Linked DNA regions of Canis lupus familiaris. The protein of the gene in region 3 binds, or shares a complex with, the protein of the main gene of each other region. Links are inferred from orthologs where the notes say so. Each region holds a gene or a part of one and is shown on either strand. Other genes may lie near its edges.

The links.
Region 1: PLRG1 (region 3) and RBM48 share a complex: the UniProt entries of both Homo sapiens proteins name them as parts of the minor spliceosome. The link is inferred for Canis lupus familiaris from reciprocal best matches to the Homo sapiens genes PLRG1 and RBM48.
Region 2: PLRG1 (region 3) and DHX16 share a complex: the UniProt entries of both Homo sapiens proteins name them as parts of the minor spliceosome. The link is inferred for Canis lupus familiaris from reciprocal best matches to the Homo sapiens genes PLRG1 and DHX16.
Region 4: PLRG1 (region 3) and SF3B5 share a complex: the UniProt entries of both Homo sapiens proteins name them as parts of the minor spliceosome. The link is inferred for Canis lupus familiaris from reciprocal best matches to the Homo sapiens genes PLRG1 and SF3B5.
Region 5: PLRG1 (region 3) and CWC15 share a complex: the UniProt entries of both Homo sapiens proteins name them as parts of the PRP19-CDC5L splicing complex. The link is inferred for Canis lupus familiaris from reciprocal best matches to the Homo sapiens genes PLRG1 and CWC15.
Region 6: PLRG1 (region 3) and CWC22 share a complex: the UniProt entries of both Homo sapiens proteins name them as parts of the minor spliceosome. The link is inferred for Canis lupus familiaris from reciprocal best matches to the Homo sapiens genes PLRG1 and CWC22.
Region 7: PLRG1 (region 3) and CTNNBL1 share a complex: the UniProt entries of both Homo sapiens proteins name them as parts of the PRP19-CDC5L splicing complex. The link is inferred for Canis lupus familiaris from reciprocal best matches to the Homo sapiens genes PLRG1 and CTNNBL1.

Annotation. Positions count from the first base shown.
Region 1 is NC_049235.1:18,074,932-18,077,313, reverse strand, and holds the end of RBM48 (RNA-binding protein 48), read right to left. Parts: coding exon 2,167-2,382; intron 816-2,166; coding exon 729-815; 3' UTR 501-728; downstream 1-500. UniProt on the Homo sapiens protein: As a component of the minor spliceosome, involved in the splicing of U12-type introns in pre-mRNAs.
Region 2 is NC_049233.1:606,622-610,121, forward strand, and holds part of DHX16 (pre-mRNA-splicing factor ATP-dependent RNA helicase DHX16), read right to left. Parts: intron 3,062-3,500; coding exon 2,807-3,061; intron 2,618-2,806; coding exon 2,414-2,617; intron 2,337-2,413; coding exon 2,145-2,336; intron 1,605-2,144; coding exon of another isoform or gene 1,555-1,604; coding exon 1,444-1,554; intron 1,273-1,443; coding exon 1,157-1,272; intron 1-1,156. UniProt on the Homo sapiens protein: Required for pre-mRNA splicing as a component of the spliceosome. Contributes to pre-mRNA splicing after spliceosome formation and prior to the first transesterification reaction.
Region 3 is NC_049236.1:52,571,453-52,575,480, forward strand, and holds the start of PLRG1 (pleiotropic regulator 1), read right to left. Parts: upstream 2,801-4,028; 5' UTR 2,655-2,800; coding exon 2,646-2,654; intron 1,338-2,645; coding exon 1,231-1,337; intron 942-1,230; exon of another isoform or gene 870-941; intron 199-869; coding exon 56-198; intron 1-55. UniProt on the Homo sapiens protein: Involved in pre-mRNA splicing as component of the spliceosome. Component of the PRP19-CDC5L complex that forms an integral part of the spliceosome and is required for activating pre-mRNA splicing.
Region 4 is NC_049222.1:35,794,967-35,797,394, forward strand, and holds SF3B5 (splicing factor 3B subunit 5), read right to left. Parts: upstream 1,246-2,428; 5' UTR 1,112-1,245; coding exon 851-1,111; 3' UTR 501-850; downstream 1-500. UniProt on the Homo sapiens protein: Component of the 17S U2 SnRNP complex of the spliceosome, a large ribonucleoprotein complex that removes introns from transcribed pre-mRNAs.
Region 5 is NC_049242.1:6,115,128-6,119,255, forward strand, and holds the start of CWC15 (spliceosome-associated protein CWC15 homolog), read left to right. Parts: upstream 1-1,328; 5' UTR 1,329-1,459; exon of another isoform or gene 1,460-1,542; intron 1,543-1,657; exon of another isoform or gene 1,658-1,774; intron 1,775-2,905; exon of another isoform or gene 2,906-2,918; 5' UTR 2,919-2,926; coding exon 2,927-3,057; intron 3,058-3,614; coding exon 3,615-3,727; intron 3,728-4,128. UniProt on the Homo sapiens protein: Involved in pre-mRNA splicing as component of the spliceosome. Component of the PRP19-CDC5L complex that forms an integral part of the spliceosome and is required for activating pre-mRNA splicing.
Region 6 is NC_049257.1:23,697,426-23,700,925, forward strand, and holds part of CWC22 (pre-mRNA-splicing factor CWC22 homolog), read right to left. Parts: intron 863-3,500; coding exon 276-862; 3' UTR 1-275. UniProt on the Homo sapiens protein: Required for pre-mRNA splicing as component of the spliceosome. As a component of the minor spliceosome, involved in the splicing of U12-type introns in pre-mRNAs. Promotes exon-junction complex (EJC) assembly.
Region 7 is NC_049245.1:26,820,126-26,824,094, reverse strand, and holds the start of CTNNBL1 (beta-catenin-like protein 1), read right to left. Parts: upstream 2,801-3,969; 5' UTR 2,789-2,800; coding exon 2,666-2,788; exon of another isoform or gene 2,546-2,665; intron 1-2,545. UniProt on the Homo sapiens protein: Component of the PRP19-CDC5L complex that forms an integral part of the spliceosome and is required for activating pre-mRNA splicing.

The DNA.
Region 1 (2,382 bases), on a different chromosome or scaffold from region 3:
ATAGTTTACCTTTTTTTACTTTACAGAATTGTATTGATTTTGAAGCCCTGGCATTCAGACACATCCTGACTTCTAGTTTTTGAATGTGAATTACTCAATACTTGTATTAAAATCAGAAGCAGATCCTGACTGCCTATCTTTACTTGCATTCTAAAGTTTTTATCTTTGCTTCACTTCATTTACCTATAATTACTGCAATGTGAGAATAAGAACAGTTTCTGTAATATTAAGTATGATCAAAATAACACCTATAAGTAATGATAAACTAATTTTACTTTTTAAGTTAGCCAACAAGGCTTAGATCTTAAGGCAAATCCTGTGAATAAGCCTTTCATAACCCCCTTTTCTCTTGCTTCCTCAACCACAGAAGTTGAAAACCTTAAAAAAAAAAGAAAAAAGAAAAAAGAAAAAAGAAAACCTAAACATTTATTTACCATGCCAGACCTCCCCAGTTAGGAACAGCCATGAGCCCAGTTCTAGCTAGTAAGATGTAACCAGAATCACTGGAAAAGTTGTTTTCTTTTATTAAGGAATATATTTGGCTGGCATGTATTTTGTCCATGATAAACTAATTTTAAAAGATGAAATTTTATTAAATAAGTAGGTTGAATGATATTACAAAGAGGAATGCATTAGAAAATTCCTGCAGTACAACCTCTTCAAGAATTAAAATGACAGGCTAAAAATAATAAATAGTCCCTCAGGAAACATAATTTGCTGCTGGCAATCTATATTCTTCTTCTTTGTTTTAATGGACGACTTGAATGCACATCTTCCAGCTTGTCTTCTGGAGGTTTTGGCACAGATGAAATTACCTAGTTTAAAAAAAGAGAACCACCAACATTTATTCCTTATAGCACAGGAATAAATAAACTAATAGAAGAGGTAGGATCTACATCTAGTAGTTCAAATCTTGCCATCACATTGGAGGCAGAGTGAGTCCAATTTCAGGGTATAGCCTACAGAGCAAAGTTTTCTGTCCAAACACTGATGGGAGTAAAATTTCTAAAGCCATTTAACAAGAAAAAAAATTTGAAGGGAGAAAAATAAATATGTACTCTTCTATAATAATCCTTTATTATTAGCATCTGTAGTAAGTTGTGTTTAAGCATTTCTCATTTTTGTTGTTCTGCTGTTTCCTTTTTAGGAATTGAACCTAACAACTTTTTTTCTTGAAAATACAGTCTGCTCTGGCTGAGAGCGCTATGCATCTCTATCTATGCCTCAGCTCAGCTGTATTTGAAGGAAGGGGGCCAGCACAAACTAAAAATTTTAAAAAGAGGCTTAAGCATGGAAACTGCGTTTATAGATTTTTGTTATTATAAAATAGGAGCTCATCCTTAATGAGATAGTAATTTTCAGGTAAAAAAAAAAATACACATAAACTAAGCCACCTCAGACTCCCTTAATCACTCTGTAAAATATACATACAATTACACAAAAAGCACTCTCTGAACCTCAGATTAAAGTTTAAGAGAATGGTCTTTCTTCCTCAGCTTGATTTCTACGAGGTTTGCCCCATAAAAAAGGTATCTTTCAAAAGCTAATTCAAATGTTAGCTTTCTTTTATTGGTGCTTGGAAAATGTAAAATGATTACATAAATAATATGTAAAGAAATTACTACTTAAGTAGTACAATCGAGCTGTATTCTATTTAAGGAGCTGACATTTTGAAATGCAGACCGTAGTGGCTAGTCTTTAGAAATCTCATCTTTTTCTATGGCTATCTTTATCAAAGAAGAAAAAAGCATTTTAATTTAATGTAATTTTGTAATAACTTTAAAGAAATAAGTTGTAGTAATTTTCCTTCAACACAACAGTTCTGTACTTTGGCTCATAATAGAACCAACCAGGGAGCTTTAAAAAGGGAGGGCCTGGGCTCAATTCTCACAGACCAACCTCACTGACTGAAACCACTGCTTTTATAGTTTAGAGCTAGAATGATATGAAATACATTGTTTAAAGCAAGGATTAATGACATCAAAGCACATACATTTCTGTTAAGTCAAATTCAGTTAATTCAACAGAACTGTAGAAAAACACATAAAAAAAAAACTGAAAATGAAAAAAATTAATGACAATACTTTAGCTGCCACAAATCTCGATTTAGCTGTTAGTCCTATGACCAGATGGTCTCTTAAAATAGTTTTTTAAAAATGATCTTACCTCTTGAAGTTTATTCCGAATTAAATTTGCTGTGGTATTCAATGAGTCGTCATGCATGTCCACTTTAGGTATGTCTGGTAACAGAGGCCCAATCATAACCTCATTACTACTTGTGCTTGTTTCAAGAAAAGTTCCAATTTTACGATCATCTTCTCTTCTTCTTTTCCGCTCCTGCAGTTGTGTTGTCCTAGGCATAAATCTCTCAACTGCCTCTGA
Region 2 (3,500 bases), on a different chromosome or scaffold from region 3:
TCCCCAGCTGTTTCACAAAGCAGGCTGGCTTGACAGGAAAACCGCACACCCTAAACACTCTTGCACTAGCTGGCCTTCCATGGTTTCTGAGATTTTTGCAAGGGATGTGAAAGCTCAGATCATATTTGTCCTGTTGCTCCATCTGTGATCTTCTAGGACCAGAACTTCACAGCCTCCTAAGATTTGAGAAACCACATACTGCTCAGCTGGCCTGATCCCACCAGCAGCCCATGCACAGATCCCTTCTCCTCCTAAACACATATTTATCCAAGCTCTGCTTGGCCAACACCAGCACTGGGAATGTACTATTCACAGACCAAGCTACTCCAAGACCTGGGCCAAAGGCCCAAGATGAGGGCCCCAGCACACAATCTCTACCTCAATTGAGGGCCTCAATCTCTACCACTCTCGCTTCTTAGTGTTGCACTGAAACCTCTTTCCCCTATAGCCACTCCCGTGGTTGCTAGTTGTGCTCGCTGCAGTCACGTGAAACAAGCTTGACCTCTTTTTCCACGGAGCAGCCCTTCCCATATTTAGAAGGAACCAGGATGTCTCCCTGAGTCTCTTCTCTCTAAGCTGGACATTCTAAGTTTCTTCAAAGGGTCTTCACGTGGCTTTTCAAGTCTCTAGAGCACCATTCTGCCATCCTGGTGTTTTTCTAAACACTGCAAGCAATGGGGGGTGGGGGGTCTATCTCTGCAGTCCCTCTACCCCATCTCCATGGTGCCTACAGGTCAGTCCTAGGACTGTCCACACCATCAAGCTTCAAGAACTGGTGGGCTTGGGCAGCCTGGGTGGCTCAGAGGTTTGGTGCCTGCCTTCAGCCCAGAGCATGATCCTAGAGACCTGGGATGGAGTCCCCCGTCAGGCTCCCTGCATGGAGCCTGCTTCTCCCTCTGCCTGTGTCTCTGCCTCTCTCTCTCTCTCTCTCTCTCTCTCTCTGTCTCTCATGAATAAATAAATAAAATCTTAAAAAAAAAAAAAAAAGAACCGGTGGGCTAATCAGAAGACAAAGGCCAAACTAGCTGGATGACAAGAAAGGAAAAATAGGCTAGAGATTAAAGAAGACACAGGAAGGTGCTGAAGGGTCAGAATGCAGCAGACTGGGCAGGAATGGTGGTGGCTCTCTGGTGGGAGGTGGTGACCCCATGTGTACCTGTAACTTGCAAGGTCAGGTTCAGAGAGGAACTCCCGGAGGAGCATCCCATCTGTCATGTAGCGGAGGACAGTTCGTTCTGATGTGCAGTCCTCAAAGCGGATGCTGTAGCCAACCTGTCAAGGGGACCATTAACGATCGAGATTGGGCTGGTACTCCTGGAAGGGAGTGCAGGGCTAGGGAATGAGGGGTCAGTGCCTGGACGTGTGGTGTGAAGCCCTATGCAGTGTGGGCTACGTCCCAGACCCTAGAGGCTCCCCTCCCTACCTAGGCCCCACAGATCTCACCTCATTCCCAAGCTTCACACCCATCTCCCGGGCCACTCGGGCAGCCACACTCATGGCTGCCACTCTCCGGGGCTGGGTACAGGCAATCTTCATTCCCTTTTTTGTGTATCCCTGAATGACAAGAGAAGAGGTTTTCCCTTTGCTAAATATATTCCTGAGGCCTAGGATAATTCAGAGAAAAAAGGTGTAAGTGCACGACAGGGCAGGGGGAGATGAAGGAACAGACAGAAACTGAAAACCCGACCCTCTGAGGGTCCCAGACTTTTGGGTGATCACATTCAGGCTCAGCTAGATCTGAGATGGAAAAGGACAGACCAACTAGGGCAGACCCAGAAGCAAGGGGGAGCCAGAGAAGGTGAAAAAGCAAGAAAATGAATCCTCTGACTCCTTGTTCTTTGTCCTTTGCAGAGGACCGATGGCTGAATGGGTTGGTATGGGAAGGTCCCAACCCCACCATCTACCTGTTTATGCATCTTTCCAACACGAATGCTGGCACTAGACACAGATACTGTGTTAGAAGTGAGAACAGAAACAGGAAACAAGTTTGCCCTTATTCTTAAACTCACAATTTAATGGAGAAGACTATGATTAAAGATGAAAAGGTAAGTGACTGCTCAAAACAACATGTGAAAAGAGCTCTGACAGGACTGTGCTTGTCAAGGGCCGGTGGCCGGTAACCTGGAGGGTGCGGATGACTGTACCTCCTCAAAGAGATACTGCGGGATCTGGGTGGTCTTCCCGGAGCCCGTCTCACCCTCGATGATGAGGACCTGATGATCAGCAATGGCAGCCAAGAGCTCCTCGCGGAATGGAAACACTGGGAGGCTGCGGCGGACAGCCTGCACGGACTCCTTCTGCTGGGCCTGGGATGGAGGCGATGGGCCTGATGGCTCCTGCAGAGGAGGAGGGGTGTGAGCTTCAGGGTCGGCTTCCCAACCTCGTTAGAACGTGCCACAGTTCTCCTGCTCACCTCGTTGCCCTGGAGCTGAGTGGCCCGGACAAACTCAATGGTCTCCTCTTCCTCCAGCACCAGCTGATACTTGGGCTCCTGGGAGGCAGCATCTCGGGCCCCAAACTTCAGAGATGCTGCCCCTAGCCGGGCCTCCTCCCAGCGTCGCTGCTCCTCCCCAGGGGCGCCTGATTCCTCCTCCACTAGATCCACAGCTCGTGATGGCTGTGGAGAGAAGGACATGTGAAGACAGAGGATGCCCTCTTCCCAGGTCTCTCCTCTCCAGTCACTATCCCTACCCACTAGGAAAGGCAAGACCAAGAAGGGGCCAGTGGAGGCCCTGTCCAAAGCCCTGAAGACTTCCCTCCACTCAGCTTGGAGAGCAGGGCTAAAGTGGACTCTGCTTTGCCTCACCTGGCCTCGGGTCTCCTCGGGCATGTGGTAACGATTGGTGGCCTCCAGCTTCTCCTGCTCCCCAGCCGCCCGGTACTCTCGGGCCAGATCCCGCACTCGCCGCTTGTATTTGAGCTCCCGCCGCTCATGTCGGCTCAGCTCTACATCCCCAAAAAGGAACTCCTCATCAGCCAGCTCAGCCTCTAGGTCCTCAAGCTTCTCTCGCTCCCGCTTAGCCAAGTACTCGCGGCGTGATTTCTTCCGCAGCTCGGGAACCTGGGTCAGGACAGGGTAGCCAAATCTTCATCTTGCTGGAACAGCAACCCCCTTCCTTACCTATCTGTAAGAGTGACAAATCCCCCAACAGGCCAGCAGTGTCCTTCTGCAATGTCCAACCTGACCTGCCCCAAACTGGGCCTCTCTGAAAGCCACACACTGACCCCCAACACTATCTTTCAGCAGCACAATCCAGCTTGAAGGCCCTTCTGGACAGCTTCGCCATCCTGGTCAATATAGATGCATTAGGGTTATTTGAATGTTTTAGGTTTTATTCTATTTTATTCGACTTAGTGGAAAGGAGGAAAACAGGGCAGCCTGAGAGGCTCAGCAGTTTAGCGCCGCCTTCAGCCCAGGGCCTGATCCTGGAGACCCAGGATCGAGTCCCATGTCGGGCTCCCTGCATGGAGCCTGCTTCTCCCTCTGCCTGTATCTCTGC
Region 3 (4,028 bases):
TTTCATTTTGAAAATTCACATGTAAGTCCTGACATTTCTGATAATACATCCTCACCTTGATTGGCAGGATACTGCTTATGACCATACGAATCCGATGCATTCTGAGGACATTTCTCTTTAAAATTTTCTTTCGAAGTAGGCATGTGCAACACAGGACCATACTCATTACGCAGCTTGATTGCCATTTTCCGTTTGTGACTATTTAAAAATTATGAACATAAGAATGTATCTTTGAGTGCTTTAAATATATTAGCCAAAAGAAATATAGACAGCCAAGAACACAAGTACTTAAATAGCTTAGGTTTGCCTAATCATGTAGAAAAAATTCTATGAAGTTTTTAAAGTTAAATAGTATTTTAAAAAGCTTGGAATTTCCAAGTGCATTTCCACACTTTTTTTGTTCCCAATCCACCACAGAGCATCCATTAAGTCTAAGTAGCATTTTAATTTGTTAACCAATAAATATATAACCTTTCATGATAAATTACCAAGGGTCTGATTTAAAAACATATAGAAACTAATATATCCTTTTAAAAACCTCAGTCAATACACTTTCCTTCAAATGTGTCAATATAAAAACACAGTAAAAGCTTCTATCATAACCTTTACTGGATGTATCTAAAAAGACCAATTAGAACTAATCAAAGTAGTTAATTAGTTCAATATTTTTTAAAGAAATGCACTTATATTAGTCTTAAGAACAGCTCACTTAATAAATTAAATATAAATGCTTGTCTTAGGAATTAAGTAGATTTTAAAAGAAGGGTAAAGGACAAAGAAGGAACACTGCACATAATGCAATCCCAGACTGGAGCTGGAGATGTAGAACCAAAAATATGCCACCACTCAAAAATCTTCATCATACTAACGAGAAAAGATGGGAGTAGAGGTACTGGCCAGGTACAATTTCAGCTCAGCAAGGCTCTGAGAGCAGCGGGAAGCTGAAAGCACATACAAAGTGATTGATTATAAAATAAAACACCTAAAAGGGACTCTCCTAATTACTGGGTATTTATAAATGCAATTAATTAATGGGACTTTTTATTGTGAAAGACAAGGCCAAAAAAAGTTAAATCAGCTTAAATCATGCCCAAACACCATTCATTACCGAATAGACATCCTACGAGTGTTAGTATCACTCACTAAGCTTTAAAGGTCCCCCTCTCCCTGCTCTCTTCCCCCAACATTAGAAGTTACATATTCCAGTAACTGAAAAGGAACAATACCTACCTCTCTTCATCCAAAGGCACAGGTTTTCCGTTATCAGCTACAAACATGTCATGGGTTCTCTTCAATGACCTGAACACAAGTGTGTGCACAGAATGTTTCTGTACCTCCTAAAAAGAAAGAACAGAATCACATATCTAGCTACAAATGACACATACCACAACCTAAATTAAGTCAAAGCAGCCATACACTTTACACATTTAAATATGTAAAAAGCTTTGTACCACTCACCACAGCTATTTGTAGCAAGCGATAGAAGAAGTCAAGGTCAGAGAGGAGGAGGAAGCTCCTCAATGGCCAGAGCCCCAGGTATACCAATTAGTGATGCCTGAGCTTAGCCATTGATTCGAACAAGTATTTACTGAGTTCCTACTATGTGTCTGGCAGGCACTGTGCTAGAAGCTAACAAAAGAATGATGACAAGGCAGCCATGGTCCCAGTGCTCAAGAGAAAACGAAAAATAAGCAACAAATCTTTGATAAGTGCTATGAAGGAAGCAAGCCAAGAAAGAACCTAGGATAGTTATGAAAGATCTCTCTGAGGTATTCCTTAGGCAGAAATTCAGCCTCGTGCAGAGCAGAGGTGAGAACAATCCAGGCAGAGAGGAAATGCCAGGTACACAGGGGTTTGGTGGCTGCAATGATGGCCGGAGCTGCAAGAGAACTGTGCATGTTCCACTGGAAGGTGGACTGTGAGGCTGGGATGAGGTTGCAAGGGTAGACAAGGTGCAGATTAGGTTAAGGATTCTTTTTTTTTAAAGGATCACTGCAACAGTCTGCACTTTTGCTCTAGTGACATCTGGCCAGCGAAGGATTTTAAGCAGAAAAAAACGCGATCAACGTATATCTTAAACAGATCAATTTTGCAGAGGGCGAAGAAATGGAAGCGAGAACACCAGCAGGGAGCTAAGGCACTCGTGCAGACGAAGGATGACGCCGGATCTGAATTAAGGCGAAGGCAGTGGGTCTGGACAAGGCTCCAGAAGTATTTCTGAGATGAGACGGGCAAGGCTGGCTAACAGTTTGATGCAAAACTTCAAAATGGCAGGTCTTCCTGGGGGCAGAGCTGGAGGAAGACCGCCCGCCTCAGGACACACAGCCCCTGACGCTGCTCTGCAGGCGGGGACCCCGCGGGGCCGGACGCGGCGCCTCCGGGGGCCCGGCCGAGACCCGACGCTCAAGAGCCAAATACGGACCGTGGAAACTCAGTCGGGCTTCGCGGCCGCGGGTAACGTCCAGCCAGGGCTCCCACCCGGCCTTCCTCTGCCCCTGAAAACCTTCAGAGACCACCCGGCCTCGGCCAGACAGCCCCCCTCCGCAGCCTTCACCATCCCCAAACCGCGAACACCCCCCCACGCCCGCCGCCAAGGAAAAACACCGCGGAAGCCAACGACCCCTCAGCACCAAGCGCCACCTTACCTCGACCATGATGCTGCCGTGCGACTCGCCGCTCCAACAGACAAGGGACACCAGCCCGCAACACAGAAGCCGCCGCCGCCGCCGCCGCCGCGCAGCCCTTCCGGAATCGAGCGCCCTGGCGCCGGAAGTGGGGCCTCCGCGCAGGCGCGGTAGCCGCCCGGCGGCCTTCTGGGATCGAGGGGCGGGGCTTTCTCCAGAGGGGCGTGGCCTCGGCGAGGTGGGCGGGGCTCAGCGGCGTCCCGGAGGAGGTCTTGGAAGAGCCTTCGGCTCGGACTTAAGTAGTTCGGTTCAGGGGTGTGGTTGTTTGCGCTGTGCCTCCCCAAGCTTAATCCTTTAATTTTATTTTTTTTCCCAGCGAACCCAAGGAGTCCGTTCTAGGGAGGGTCTGGAGAGAGCGAATCCCGGTCCGCGTCCAGCTCCCCTGATTGACGTCTCGGCTCCCGCTGCGCCGCGGGGCTGCCCGGCCTGGAAGCCTCCGCGCGCTGCGGCCTCGGCTGCCGAGAGCACCTGCGCTGATGCTGTCCCGTTAACCCTTGGCGGCCGGATGTTGCGGAACACTTTGCATTTGAGAAAGTGTGCAAAGATCTTTGTTGTAGCCCTGTACGGCAAATCCCCACATTTATTTTTACGCTGCATAGATTTTTTTTTTTTTAAATCTCTCAAAACCGCACGATTTTCAGCCAGTCTGCTAATGAACGTGGTGGCGTCGACAGTATCAAAGGGCAGCTTTTCAAAGCTGGCGGAAGAAAGACACAACTGAAGACTCGAGCCACTTTTATTTATACACATCCTAGTGCCAAAATAGCAGTATTTTATATTGTCTTGTCTTAGGTAAAATGCAGTTTTCGATCAAGCCTGTCCCATTACTTTTCTATGCAAACAGGAGTTGAACATTTGTAAATCCGATAGGCAAATATTTCACTGGCCCTGCTTGTTCCTTAAGCTAATCAATTCCACTGATCTCAGCATACCGCATGGGCTTGGAGAGGGAAGAAGTCTTATTGAGGGACACCTGGGGGGCTCAGTGGGGGAGCATCTGCTTCGGCCCAGGACCCAGGATGTGACCCTGGGGTCCCTGATCATCGGGCTCCCTGCAGGGATGGAGCCTGCTTCTCCCTCTGCCTGTTTCTCTGCCTCTCTCTCTGTGTCTCTCATGAATAAATAAATAAAATCCTATCAAAAGTATATCAATGTGAATTGCTAATCTCATTGGATGTACATTGATTCTTAATTAATCAAAAACATTAAGGTCATGTTTCTACTTGAAAATACAATCGTGTTTGAATTTGAGTGAGTTTGGCCTACTGAGTTTCTGCAGCAGTAGCCACTGGTGGTGGGCCTCATAAAGAAATTCTATAATGGTGCAATATGTACTTGGGAACC
Region 4 (2,428 bases), on a different chromosome or scaffold from region 3:
TTATGCCTACAATTTGTGTGCCCCCCCAAGTATAACATAAGCTCCAAAAGCGAGGCAAAATGCCCACCACATAGAACTGACTCAACAAGTATTTGTTGAATGCCGAATGAATGAAAGAACTCGTCTGACAGCCTGTCGTTTTTCAGGATGTGTCCAGAATCCCAAGAGAAAGAGACGATGCAACTTACATAGAGGAGTGGGCAATGCTAGTAAAGATTTTTCTGAATGCAAGAACATGAAAGAGGGATACAGTGATCATAAACCTTAATCCTCAGTCCTGAAGGCATTATGGGCCTGAAAAAAGCTCTTGGGAGAAGTCTGGGTTGGGGAATATTATAAAGATCGTGCAAGGCGGATTTAACTGTATGCCAATGAACGCTGGCCCTGTGCTCAACTCCTCCACCCATCCATCTCCCGCCTCTTCGGTCTCCCAAGAAACTAAAGTCCCCAAAGCCCTCCTTGGACCCCCTTCCACTCAAACGCAAGTGGTCCACACCAAGTGATTGAAAAACTTCTAGACTTTATGGAAAAAGAAACGACAATCAACTAGCCAAAAAAGAGCCTCCAAATCCCGTCTGATCCCAGTTCCTTCCCCCCTCTCTTGCTGGTTTAGGACCTCTCCACCGTCTCAGTTCTCACGGGTCCTGACAGTCTCCCAACGCTGTTCCTAAGGGTCCACAGGAAAGCAGGTCAGGCGGGACGGCCTCAGCTAAGCACTTGTGCACGAGGAAGGCGCGAGAAACAGGAGCAATGGAGAACCGGTCCACTTCGGGGCAGGAACACGCGGGAGAAACGGCAAACGGGAGGAACTCGGGACACGCTCCCGCGTGGCAGTGACGAGACGGGGGTGTCAGTTCTCCTCCGGCTTGTCGGCTGGCGGTCCGCAAGGCTGCAGCATCTTCTCCATCAAGTTGAAGCGGACTCGCGCTTTGCTCTCATTCTCCGCAATGGCGAAGTAGTTGAGAAGGTCGAAGTGGCCCATGTAGGAGCAGTAGGAGTCGCGGTGCTGGTTTACCAGCCACTCCCACTTGGTGGTGTCGGCGTGGCCCGTGCCGATGTACTTGGACTGCAGGTGCTCCAGCTGGCTGTGGATAGTGTAGCGGTCAGTCATCTCGCCGCTTTCCCTTCGCGCCCAGGTCAGACGCCGCAGAGGAGAAGCTGCTCTAGACTTCCACGCGGGAGAGAGCCCACGACACGGCACCTCCCGGCCGGCTCAGTCGCAGGAGAATGACGTCACAGCCACGGAGCCGCGAGGACTCGCGGTCCTAGCGCTCAGAGGAGGAAGCGGAAGTGTATTCCGTCAGGGAATTGGAGTTGCCTAGGCGACGCTACCAGTCGGCCGCCCACCCCCCGCCCCCGCCATGGAGAGCTCCGCCCCCTCCGTAGAGCGTTGCATCATGGTTCATTCAGTGGCCCTTGCTCTAGCGCGGAGCGTTGCATGCCGGGAGCTGCGGTCGCCGAGGGTTCGTGCGCGCCCGCCTCCCTGGGCGGTCGTCGCGGTTTAAGAGCCCGCCGGCGCCTGGTGGAGCGTCGTGTCGGGGAGGCGGGGAGCATCCCTGGGCGGCTGGGAGCTGCGAAGAAATGGGGAGCTGCCACAGGCCGCCGTGAGAGTAACCTCGGTGTAACTTTGGTTTCGGAGCGAATGTGGCGGCGTGGTGGGCCCCGTCACGGCCCGGGGTGGGTCACCCTGAGAATCGGTCGACGCGACTGCGGCTCCCAGCTGTGCGTCTTCCTTCAGCGCTGGCGGGGCCGCCGTTTCCCGCCCGGTGCCCGAGGACCCTACGGGCGCCGACACGTTCGGGCGCCGACACGTTCGGGCTCCCACACCGAGCCCCGCCCCCCCCGCCCCCCCCCGCCCCCCGGCGCTCCAGCTGCTTCATTTGATGTCCTGCCTCCAGCTGCTCGCCCCACCCTACGCACCCCAGCCTGTGTGTCTCAGCATTCCGTGCCGCTCGCCTCTCCAGTTCTTTGTACTAGATGTTCCCTCCGCTTGGAATGCTTTTGTTCCCTTGGCAAACAACTTCTCTCTTTAAGTCAGCTCAAAAGCATCTCCTTGAAATCGGCTTTGGCCACACCAGACAGACGTAAAGTCTCCTGTACATCGCTTCATTATGATCGCCTTATAGCCTACGCTTTGGGTTCTTTTTTTTTTTTTTTTTTTCTGAGAACTCCCTCGTGTGAATTCAAACTACTTGGGGGAAAGTAGCGTATACTTTTTTGATGCCATCATTTATCATAGCTTCTTTTGTGGCATCTTTTTTGTGATAACCACACTTGCGATACTTGGCCTGGTAGAGCTCGCATTCTCAAAAAACGTTTGATGAATGGATGAACAACTGTGGCAGCAAATAGAAGGGACTCTTTAGTGGGAGAAAGATGACTTTAAAATAGTTCTGTTCTGCAGTTAGGTACAGATGAGTAAGTCTAG
Region 5 (4,128 bases), on a different chromosome or scaffold from region 3:
CTTGGGTTCTCAGGTCACATTAAAGAATTTGACCTTTATTCTAAGTGCAGTGGGGTTTTTAGGCAGAAGAGTAACACTACCTGATCCATAACTTTCAAAGATCACTCTCACTGCTATCTGCAAAATTAACCGTATGTAGGGCCAGAGTGGAAGCAGGAAGGTCCATTAGGGAGCAATTATAATGCAGGTGAAAAATCCCAGTGGCTTGAACTAGGGTAGTGGCAGGGGAATGAAATTTTGGGTATCATACTTTAAAAGTAAAATGGACAAGTCTTGGAAATAAACTATATGTGAGGAGTCAAGTAAAAGGGATTTAATCAGGAGCCTTGAGGTTTTGGTTTAATAAGTGGTACCTGGCAGTGTCCTTTACTGAGACGTACAAAACTAGGGGAGAAACACCATCCCTAAGAGAAAAATTTTTTATCTTGACCTTCAGAAAGGAAGGGGCTGCTTCTACTTTTTAAAAGAATTTACAGGTTTCAAAGGAAGAGTTCTGGAAATAAAGCTTTTTAATGCTCGATTTTATGAGCTGTTTATATTTGACACCAAGTTGGAGATGCTGAATTTTCATCTGTCTAATATTTATTGAGCATCTACTGTGGCCAAAGACCATGTGATGAGATACCAAGATGGACTAAACAAACGAGCTCCCTGCTCCCAGTGCTTTTTGGAAAAGGGAGAACGGACGACTGGCGTTCGTTGTCTCATTAAAAGTTCCCCCAACGCCCGAGTAGCCATCTTCCAGGAACTGCATCTCGCGCTCCTGGCAGTTGGGCCCAGCGTTCCAAACGCTCATCATCGGGCTAATAAGTGAATCTCTAATAGTGACATCTCCCCTCCCGCTAGAACTCAGGCTTTTTTAAAAAAAAATGGAAATGTTAACAAACAATACGAATACAACCTTTGCCTTGAAGACTAGTATTTTTGCAGGAATGGTACCTTTATAAAGATCGTGGTTGCCCCCGTACATATTTGTTCTTTCTTCATATCCAATTAAATGAAAACACTAGTTTTTCCGCAGCCCACTCTAGGCTGGCTGGGTCTAGCTCAGGAGAGAGGAAGCCGGAGCCGTTGGCTTTAAACACTTGGGTGTAATCCTTCTCTACGCTCCCTCCCGCTAGCCGGGGACTCGCGGTCCGCTACCCGGGGCTTTCCGTCCACGCAGCGGCGGAACGAAGGAGGCTGGGAGGGGGTCGGGGAAGGGAAGGACGCGAGAGACATTAAGTAATTGGCTCTTGAAGGTATAAAACGATGTTTCGGGTCTACTCGAAAGCACGGATTTCAAACGCCCGCCCCCTGGGCCGTTTCGGCCCCGCCCCCCGCCGTCATCACGCCGACCTCCACCCCGCCTGCTGCCGATTGGTCTCCGCCTCGGCCTCGGAAGTGCGGCTGAAGAGCCGGGGTTTGCTTCCGGGTCGTGGGGCTCGGGCCCGGTCCTGGGCGCGGAGGCTGCTGGGAGGTGAGAGTCGTCATGGTGTCTGTGTGACTTGCGGAGGCTGTCGCGTTAGACCTTGGTCGACGTGTGCCGCGGGAGGGTAGCAGGTTGTCCGTCCCGCGCGGGTGGGGCGGGGAAGGCCGGCAGCGGCCGGAGTCGGCGGTAGCGGGCCGGGCGTGGGCGCAGGGGCCGCGGCGGGGGCGGGGGCGGGGGCGGGCGGCGGCCGCGGAGCGCGCAGCGTGAAGGCAGTAGGCGGGCGGCGGTAGCGGGGTCCACACCCCTTCCTCCCCCGAACCCCCTGCGAGTCGGGCCTCGGGGTGAAGAGCCAGCGAGCCTCTGGTAACAGCCCGAAGGCCAGCCCCCGGGAGGCGGGAGTGACCGAAATCCGGGAGTGTGCGGGCGGCGGCGGCGCCCCCAGCGGCAGGAAACCCGGGCTCTCTCGGCGCAGATCCCTTTTCCCTTTTTAAAAAATCGAGGGACGTACACTCAGTGCCCGCCTCCCCCACCCCGGTTCCCCGCACCTGGCTTTTCGGACGCTCGACGGGACTTGAGTAGCCACGTCTGCTAGGCACCCCTCTTGGCAGCCCCAAGCCAGAAGTAACGGAAGGGGTCCCCGAGTTTTGTTTATCGGAATCCTTTGGTGGTGACTTTCCTTTCATGAGCATCGTCACCTACAAAAATCTGCTTTGTATTCTAATCGTTGCTATAGAAGAAAGTTGGACCGACAAAAGGTTGTTGGAGAATCCTGCCCGTGTAACTGTCCTTAAAGTTTAGCCTACTTTACTCCAGGACACTCCGTAACCTTGTCGGTGATTTTAAAACAACCTGGTTTTGTAGTTAGTAGCCTGTTTTCTGTTGTATGAGGTTAAGTGCAAACCTTAGGGCATCTGGTGGACTAGGGTTAAGCTGAGAATTTTTTTTTTAAGATTTTATTTATTTATTCATGACAGAGAGAGAGAGACACAGAGGCAGACAGGCAGAGGGAGAAGCAGGCTCCATGGATCAGGCCCTGGGCGGAAGGCGGCACTAAACCACTGAGCCACCTGGGCTGCCCATAAAGCTGAGAATTTTTAAAACTCAGTGTTGGCAGTACTAAATTTTGCAAGGCTTTGACATTTCAATTCCTTTTTTTTTTTTTTTTTTGACATTTCAATTCTAATAATAACCCTGTGGGGGACATTGCCCATTCCTCAGAACTTGGAGCTGGATGACTTGCCCAGGGCCCCAGATACAGAAGGAGAACAGGAACACCAACTCCCATCTTCATGAGAGAATTTTTTGCCCTAAATAAGAGTTGCCTAAGAAGCTATATTCCTTATATACCCTGAGCTTCATTATGTGTTTTCTTGAGAACTTTTGTTTGAGATTATTAATTTTGGAGAATGAATTCTGGAAATTATTTCACAAGGATGAATATTATTAATATCTTATGAAATGAGAATATATCATATTGGAAATAACTTGATACAGTTTTTCTTTAAAGCATAAAAGATGACAACAGCAGCTAGGCCAACTTTTGAACCTGCAAGAGGTGGGAGAGGAAAAGGAGAAGGTGATTTGAGCCAACTCTCAAAGCAGTATTCAAGTAGAGACCTACCTTCTCATACAAAGATAAAATATAGGTAATGAAGACTTTTTATTTTCTTGTTCAGAAGACAAGACTAAATCTGTTAAATGGCATGCTCATGAGATTCTAGCGTGTTTGGGGTATATCACTAACCTATTTTCATAGGGATAGAATGCAATAGAGTGTTTAACATTAAAACTGTGCTCTGATTATTAAAACACTACCATGTACTACTTATGCAGAAATCCCTATTAATTGGGAATTTCCGTATGTAGATGGCTCAATAGCAGTGACCTCAGGGCCCATCCACTATCAGCACTACTCAGTGTGAGGTGAAAAGTGTCAGACTAATGAGCCCTGAATTGATGTACTAACAAAAAGTAAAGACATTTTAATTACTCCCCAGCCTTATGGGAAAATATGTGACTCAGTTTGGGCTTTCTGAAACGTTGGAAACATTACAAGAATGCCTGTTAGTGACCTTCAGATTAGGGTAATGATCTCATTTAGTTCCTTGAACTTGAGGACAAAGTGGCTTTTTGCGAACTGTCTTCCCCTGCTACAGCCATGTATCTTTTTAGTAATATTTTCACCAAATTGTTTCTGCTTTAGACAAACTACTCAGGATGCCCCTGAAGAGGTTCGCAACCGTGACTTCAGGAGGGAGCTGGAAGAGAGAGAGAGAGCTGCTGCAAGAGAAAAAAACAGAGACCGTCCAACAAGAGGTACCAACACTGCCCCCAGATATTTGTCATCATGAAATTATGTTGACAATGGTTTTTCTTTCATGGCTAATTGGAGCTGATTAATATTTTTTGTTTGCTTGCTTTAAAATGTTGGCGTAAACAATATAAAGTATTGTTTGCTTTAAGATTGGTAACACTTTCTTAAGTGATTAGATTAGAGTTGACTCCAGTTCCATCTCTTTGTGCTTCCTTAGCAGAAGGAACAGGATGATCTGGGGATATCTGGCAGTTCTTGTTTCAGTTTACGTAAAGGTTTTTGTCTTAAGATTTATTTGAGAGAGAGCACATGTGCATGAGCAGGGGGAAGGGCAGAGGGAGAGATAATCTCAAGCAGGTGGGCCTCAATCCCAGGACCCCAAGATCATGATCTGAGCCAAAAT
Region 6 (3,500 bases), on a different chromosome or scaffold from region 3:
ATGAAGAAAATCACTGATTCAATGAACATTTGATCATTTTATTAACAAAATATAAGCAAGAATTACATCCCTCTCTAATGAAACTTCTCAAATAATTTTATGTGGAGGGCCTTGAGATGTATCAATTATAAAACATGTTAAAATGAAAAAAAATTTTAAATGTACAAATACAAACCAGTACTTTATACAAGAATTCTCTATAAAGTTCGTTAATGTAAAAAATAATTTGTCTCAACTGAATATAAGGCATGTTCAGTTTCTGTAATTTTGTAGAATTATTTTTTTTGCTTTGTTGGAGATTTTTCTCTTCGCCGGTCCTGATGTTTCTTTGATTCTCTGGATTGTGTAGAGTATCTGCTAGATTTTTCCCATCGCCTCTCGGCACCATTTTGATACCTATCTTCATCACTTCTAGAGCCTGAATGTTTTCTAGTCTTTTCTCTTGACTTTGATCTATCTTTTCTTACAACATTTTCACTGTCCTTATTTCGCTGTCTGTGCTCATTTTCGGAAAAAGAATTTCTTCTCTCTCCTCTCTTTTTTTTGGGATCACCATGCTTATTTTCCAAATCTGTGTGCACTTCTTGGTCTCTGTCATTCACGATTCTACTGTAACTGTTTCGTTCAGAAGGAACACTTCTGTCTGAAGTGTATTTTGTTATGGGATTTCTCCAATTTGGATCCCGTGAATTTTTATCTTTATATTTTTCTGACCGTCTTTCTCTTTCAGTCCTTGTTTCCTGATGTCTTTGCTCTGGCCTTCTTTCTTCTTGTTTCCTATCGTGGGTTTGTTGTTTCCTGATCAATTTATCTACTTCTTTACTTCTGCTGTTCCCTTGTCCCTTCTTTCTTCTATCTTTAGCTGCATGTGTAAAATGAAATAGTTAGGTTTTATTTTAATCTTTAATTTCATAATTTAACAATTATAGTTACTGATCTATTGTAGGTTTATTAATTCAGATAAGCTGGATGCAAAACTAAACTGATTGAATGGAAAGTCTGATGTCAGAATATTGTACAAGATGAGTAATTTTTAAGAATATATATCATATCACCATTAGTTACCAAAGTACCATTTTGATCCTTAGACTCAAAGCTGTAAACAGAAACTTGACATAAACTATAGCAAATGTAAAATTTTTTATAAAGTGACTAACAGGTATATATTTCCACTTATAAATCTTATTCAAAAACTCCAGCCCATGTGCACTTTGTCATATGAAATATGTCAGATCTGGCATGTTAATAATAAAAAGACAGTGATTAGATATGCCAGCAACGTCACTCCCTAAAGGTGGGGGAGTAGGATGATGGAGTTTGTTTAACAGCATGAATATATATTTTTCAAGTAAAAGCCTCTTCCTAAAAAACAACAGCTCTGCTCTCCAGTGCTATCAGGGAGAAGTATCTGTACCAGAAAGAGAAGAAGCTTGTTAAGACATATAATCATGAGCTTTTATGAGAGCTATGAAGGCTTGATTTCTGAGAAAAACCGTTCTGAAATGGTCTAGAACAATTTTTACTGATATAATAAACAAATATAAATATTAAATAATCACGGAGAAATTTTAAGCTATAAAACAAATTTAATCACTTTATCTTTGTTATTTCTTTTGAGTACATAAATCAAGGTTGCTGAGACGACCGAAGTTTGTGTCAAATTCGTATATATACAGAAAGAAAAAAATACGGTAGAAAACTGCCTACCTTCGCCTTATCTCCACCCAAATCTCACTGTACCAACCTGTATTTCTCCTGCCAAATGCCTATCCTTGGCACAGTCCATTGGTTTGCCACTAAGGATTTATTTTTCTGGTTCCTCAGCTGAGCTGCAGCTACCCAAGCAGAAACCATCTGGCTGTGTGCTAAATCAATGTCTCTCTGACCCAACTCTACACCACTCTCAGGGCGTTGCTGACACAAAACCCTGAGCCCTACCATAATATGCAATCTCTCCAATCTTTGGTATTTGCTTTACAATTTTCTAATTTTGGGGCAGTTCATACTGCTCTTATGCTACTTAATATTTTACCAATAAAACTGAAAGCTCTATGCTAAAATGGGATGATGAGGCAAATTAATTTTGAATCAGCAAGATTCCTTATTGCAGCAATTCATGCTGTGTTATCATCTGTTCTCAAAACAGATATCATGAAATAACAAATTCTTTAGAATTAAAAGAGGTGAATATTAAATGAACAATGTTAATATATTTAATTCAAGAATAAGACTTCCTGTGGGCAAATGCAATCTTGTTCTAATAATATAAAACACTGAGAGTCCCACAATTCTGGCTGCCACACAGTATGTAATACTCTTTTAAGTGCAACAAGCCAGAGAACAAGAGTGTAAAGATCAACCTTCCAACATACTTTTCCTGCCTCTGGAATATGCATTAAAAAATAAGAAATGAGGGATCCCTGGGTGGCGCAGCGGTTTGGCGCCTGCCTTTGACCCAGGGCGCGATCCTGGAGACTCGGGATCGAATCCCACATCGGGCTCCCGGTGCATGGAGCCTGCTTCTCTCTCTGCCTCTCTCTCTCTCTCTCTCTGTGACTATCATAAATAAATAAAAATTTGTAAAAAAAAAAAAAAAAAAAAGAAATGATATGCATTTTAGACAATTAGACTATCTCTTATTTTTAGACTAAGATACTATGATGAAAAAAAACAGTTGACCCTGGGGAAAACAACAGACCATCTCAGAAAATTGCACATTTGAAAAAATCCTTTACTACTGTATTTCCATTTCCAGGGAGAAAGGAGAAAGCTGTGGAGACCACAGCCCCTGCTGAGAACAACTAGAAATGCCAGAGAAAGATTTAAAATTTTCTGCTTAAAGGCACTAAAGATCTTGAACAACTTGAGATGTTATGAAGAAAGGCAGTGCTCAAAAAAATGATAGGGGTATGTTGAAAGAACACAGGGGCCAATGTGAAGGAGTTCCTGATTGCCAAAGCTGAAATGACGTGAGCAACAAAATAAATGACAGTAATGGACTTTAACTCATTCACTCAGATGAATAGCCACTGAGTTCACACTGATAAAAGATACTTAATAAATAAATGGGGGTGGGAGGGGGAGACAACTCTTTCTTAAAGAAGAAATTCAGTTATTAAATGTAGAAGAAAAAAGACAAATGGAAAAATGACATTTGGCAAACACCATAGTAGTTAAGTACTGCAGATGAGATCCAAAGATGTATGCTAAAATTGAAGAGTGAAAGAGGAGAGAGAGGAAATTTAACAAAGTATCAAATTATTTCCCTACAAGATATTAATCTATAGAGAAAAGGAGTTTCCATGAAGAAATCCAGATGTCACCTTAACCAAGTGATCAAAGTTAATATCACCAATAAGACATACCGATATGAACTCCAAGATGCACTAAGAATACATCATTTCTATGGTACTCTGTACAAAAGTGCATAACTTCATTCCAACCATGTAAAAAAACATCAGACACATCTCCATATTTAGGGATATTCGAAAAAATATCTG
Region 7 (3,969 bases), on a different chromosome or scaffold from region 3:
TCTTAAAACAAAACAGAAAACCAGGTTGGGTAATCATTCGGTTCCAGTTCTGGCTCTGCTCCTGGCTATTGTCCTTGGGCAGGTAACTGACCTCCCTAGCTCAAGTGTCCTTTTCTATAAAATAGGCATGCCCCTCACCTCAAAGCATGTTGACAATTAAATATAAGAATCCATCTGAAAGCACTTTATTCAGCATCTGGCACAGAGTAGGCAGGCACGACAGCACAGTCACTAGGAGCTTCAGTTATGAGGCAGGTGCTTTTCTGTACCTCAGTTCCCTAATCTGTACAACAAGGATTAGAGACAGTACCTTCTTCATAGGGTTATTAGAAAGATTTTGAGAGATGGTACAAGTAAATGATGCATCTTTCATAGCTATAAAATGTTACTGTTTTTGAAGAGCTTTTGCGTTCATTAATTCAAATGATCTTCACCTACTTCCACAAGAGGATGGGTGCATTTGATTGATTATGAACTAGATTCCAGACTGTACCATCTTTTAGGAACAGGAGGAGTGGACATCCATCTTACGAAAAGGAAATTGCATGAATAGTGCATATGGGGAATGAACAGAGATGAAAATAAGGAGATCAGGATTCTGGTTTCAACTATGCCAGTACCTTAGCCCACAGCTGCAGAGAAGTGCTTTATCAGAATGGGGTTCACTCCTCATCTGTAATGAAGTGGGCTGCATGAGGTTATCTATATAACATCTCTCCAAATAAAATTTGAACTCCTTACCATGGCCTACAGGAAGACCTACATTGTCTGTCATCTGCTTACATCTCCTATTCATCATCTACCATTCTCCTGCTCACTCACCATGTTCCAGCACCATCAATCCTCTCACTGATCTTCTAAAAGGCTGTACCAGCTTCTACCTCATAGCCTACATACGTGCTCTTCCCTCTGCCTTGATTCTTCTGCCCTTTTACATGATTGGCTCCTTCTCAACCTTCAGTCCTTTAGCATCCATTCCTCAGAGTCCTTCCCAGACCATATTACCCAAAGGTAATAGGTCCTGTCTCCTACTGCCAGGGGTTATTTTATTTTTTTTTTTAAGATTTTATTTATTTATTCACGAGGGACAGAGAGACAGAGGCATAGGCAAAGGGAGAAGAAGGTGCCTCACAGGCAGCCCGATGTGGGACGCAATCCCAGAACCCCGGGATCACGCCCTGAGCCAAAGACAGACACTCAACCACTGAGCCACCTAGGTGTCCCTCAGGGGTTATTTTCAATCATAGCACTATCTAATAAAAATATACTGAAAGCCACAAATGAGCCACATATACAGCCACATATAACTTTAAATTTTCTAGTAGTCATATTAAAAAAAAGTTTAAAAGAAAGTAACATTAACTTTAATAATATATTTTCTTTAAGCCAATATACCCCACATATCATTTCAACATGGAATTGATATAAAGATTATTAATATACGTTACATTAATTTATTTCACACTAAATCCTGGAAATCCAATGTGTATTTTACACATAGCTCTCAATTCCACACATAGCTCTCAATTCCAACTAGCCACATTTCAAGTAGCCACAGGTGCCAGTGGCTATCTCACAAAACAGCACAGTTACAGAGTATACTCTGCTTAGCCTTCAAGAGCCTATCACAATCTGAATTTACTTACACACTTATCATCTTCTAACTTTCTCACCAGACTACAAGCTCCACAGAAGCAAGAACCTTGTCTGTTTTGTTCAATATTGTATACTCAGAGGATTTTGAACAGTAGGCGTTCAATAAATGTTTTTTGAGCAAATGAATGAATCTCTTTTAGCTTCAATATTCTGAGTCAGTGGGCCTGCCATTCTACAACTCCCAAACAGATATGTAACCACTCATTCAACAACCTTATTTCCTTTCTTCTTTCATGTTCAATAACTGTCTTAAAAAGAGAAATCTCGGGCAGCCCCGGGGGCTCAGAGGTTTAGCACCTGCCTTCAGCCCAGGGTGTGATTCTGGCAACTCAGGATCGAGTCCCATGTCGGGCTCCCTGCATGGAGCCTGCTTCTCCCTCTGCCTGTGTCTATGCCTCTCTCTCTCTCTCTCTGTGTGTGTGTTTCTCATGAATAAATAAAATCTTAAAAAAAAAAAAAAAGAGAGAGAGATAAATCTCTTGGCTATATATCTCCCGTTGCTTATAAGTTCTTTTCTACGACGTCTCCAAGGTCTGTTCTTCATATACTGGCTGAGGGAGTGACATGAATATAATTGTTAGTGTTTGCTGAACTTTTACTCTTTGACAAGCATTGGCAGACCATTAAGAACTTCATGACAGACTTATGTGGCAGGTACCATCTTTGCCCCTAATTACACATGGGGAAACCAAGGCACAAAGAGTTAGTTAAGTAAGTATTCTGTGCAAGGTTACAGCAGCCAGTTAATAGCAAAAGAGACACTCCAAGGAACAAGCAGCCCCGGCCCCTAGTTCTTAACGACCTATTCTCTACTGCAGACCTGCCAATGGAAATACAAGACCGGTTATATATGCAATTTTAATAGCCACACTAAAAGGTAAGTAGCCACCTGAACAACGTGGACAGCGGGGCTCTACTGCCTCTCACGAGGGGCCCCTGTAGGAAGTCAAGGAGGGGGAAACCTTTGAACTGGGAGCCAGGAGACCTCAGCTCCAATCCCAGCTCTTACTTGTTGAGTGACTCTGGATAAGTCCTTTCTGCCCTCTGGGCCGCGGATTCCCGCCAAGTAGCCAGAGCAGGGAGGACGAGAAGATTCCACGCTAGAATTCCACGCATCTCCTAACAATGGCATGGGAACAGCTCTTACACTTTACAACCAGCTTTCACACCCGGTAGTTTGCAACGGAGGCCTCAGACAACCCAACGGGAGGGTTAGGACTGTCGCCGTCTTACAGATACAAAAACTGACGCTCAAAGAGGGGGAGATGACTCGTCCGAAGGGCACATGGCTAATTACTGGGGAAGCCGGGGTCAAAGGCGGGCAAGGCCAGTGCCCTCCCACCGCCGCCACCAACACAACGCCCGGGGGACCGGAAAGCCGACGAGATGGCTGCGAAGGTGGCCGGGGGCCTGCGGAAGAGTTGACGGGGACCAGGCCCCAACCCAGGGTAGGGCAAGAAGAGGCCCAGGCTGCAGCTGAGACGAAGGAGCCTGCGCTCTGAGAAGGAATGAACCAAAGGGCCCAGGAAAGTCTCAGGGGAGTGGAGTGAAACGAGGGGCTCGGACGCCGGAGCCTCAGGAGCGCGGGGGACGCGGCCGGGGACAGAGGCGACGCGGGGGGAGATGAAGGGGCTCTGGTCCCGCGACCGCAGAGCCCTGCCTGGGTGAGGGGATGGCTCCCGGCCTGCCTCGCCCCTCATACCTGGTAGCTCAGAAGTTCGCCCACATCCATGGTACCAGGCCCAGCCAACACCTGCTACTCAGCTTCCCTCCACTCACGGCCAAACCGCGGGCCCCTCCGCTGCGGCTCCGGCCACACTGCCGGAAAGCGCGGTGAGCGGGTCGCACGGCCAATGAGGTAAAAGTGAGAGGGCCACGGAAGCCGGCCACACTGCTGTAAAAGGCAACGCCACCGTAACGCGCGCTGCATTTGCGACGGTACTGCTTCCGCCCGGAGCCTGAAGGAGGCGGGGCGTGGGGGGAAGGGGGCGGAGACTTGGAGGAGGGCGGTAGGGTGAGAGGAAAGACCCAAAGGAGCCAGGATTTGTTGGGCGCCCCCTATGTGCAGGGCGGAGCAGCGAGAGTTTCACTTGTGCTCTCCAATTTTTTTTAAAGATTTTATTTATTTATTTATTTATTTATTTATTTATTTATTTATTTATTTATTTATTTATTTATTTATTTATTCATGAGAAACACAGAGAGAGGCAGAGACATAGGCAGAAGGAGAAGCAGGCTCCATATGGGGAGCCTGATGTAGGACTCGATCCCAGGACCCCAGGATCATGCCCTGAGCCACCCAGGCATCCCTAT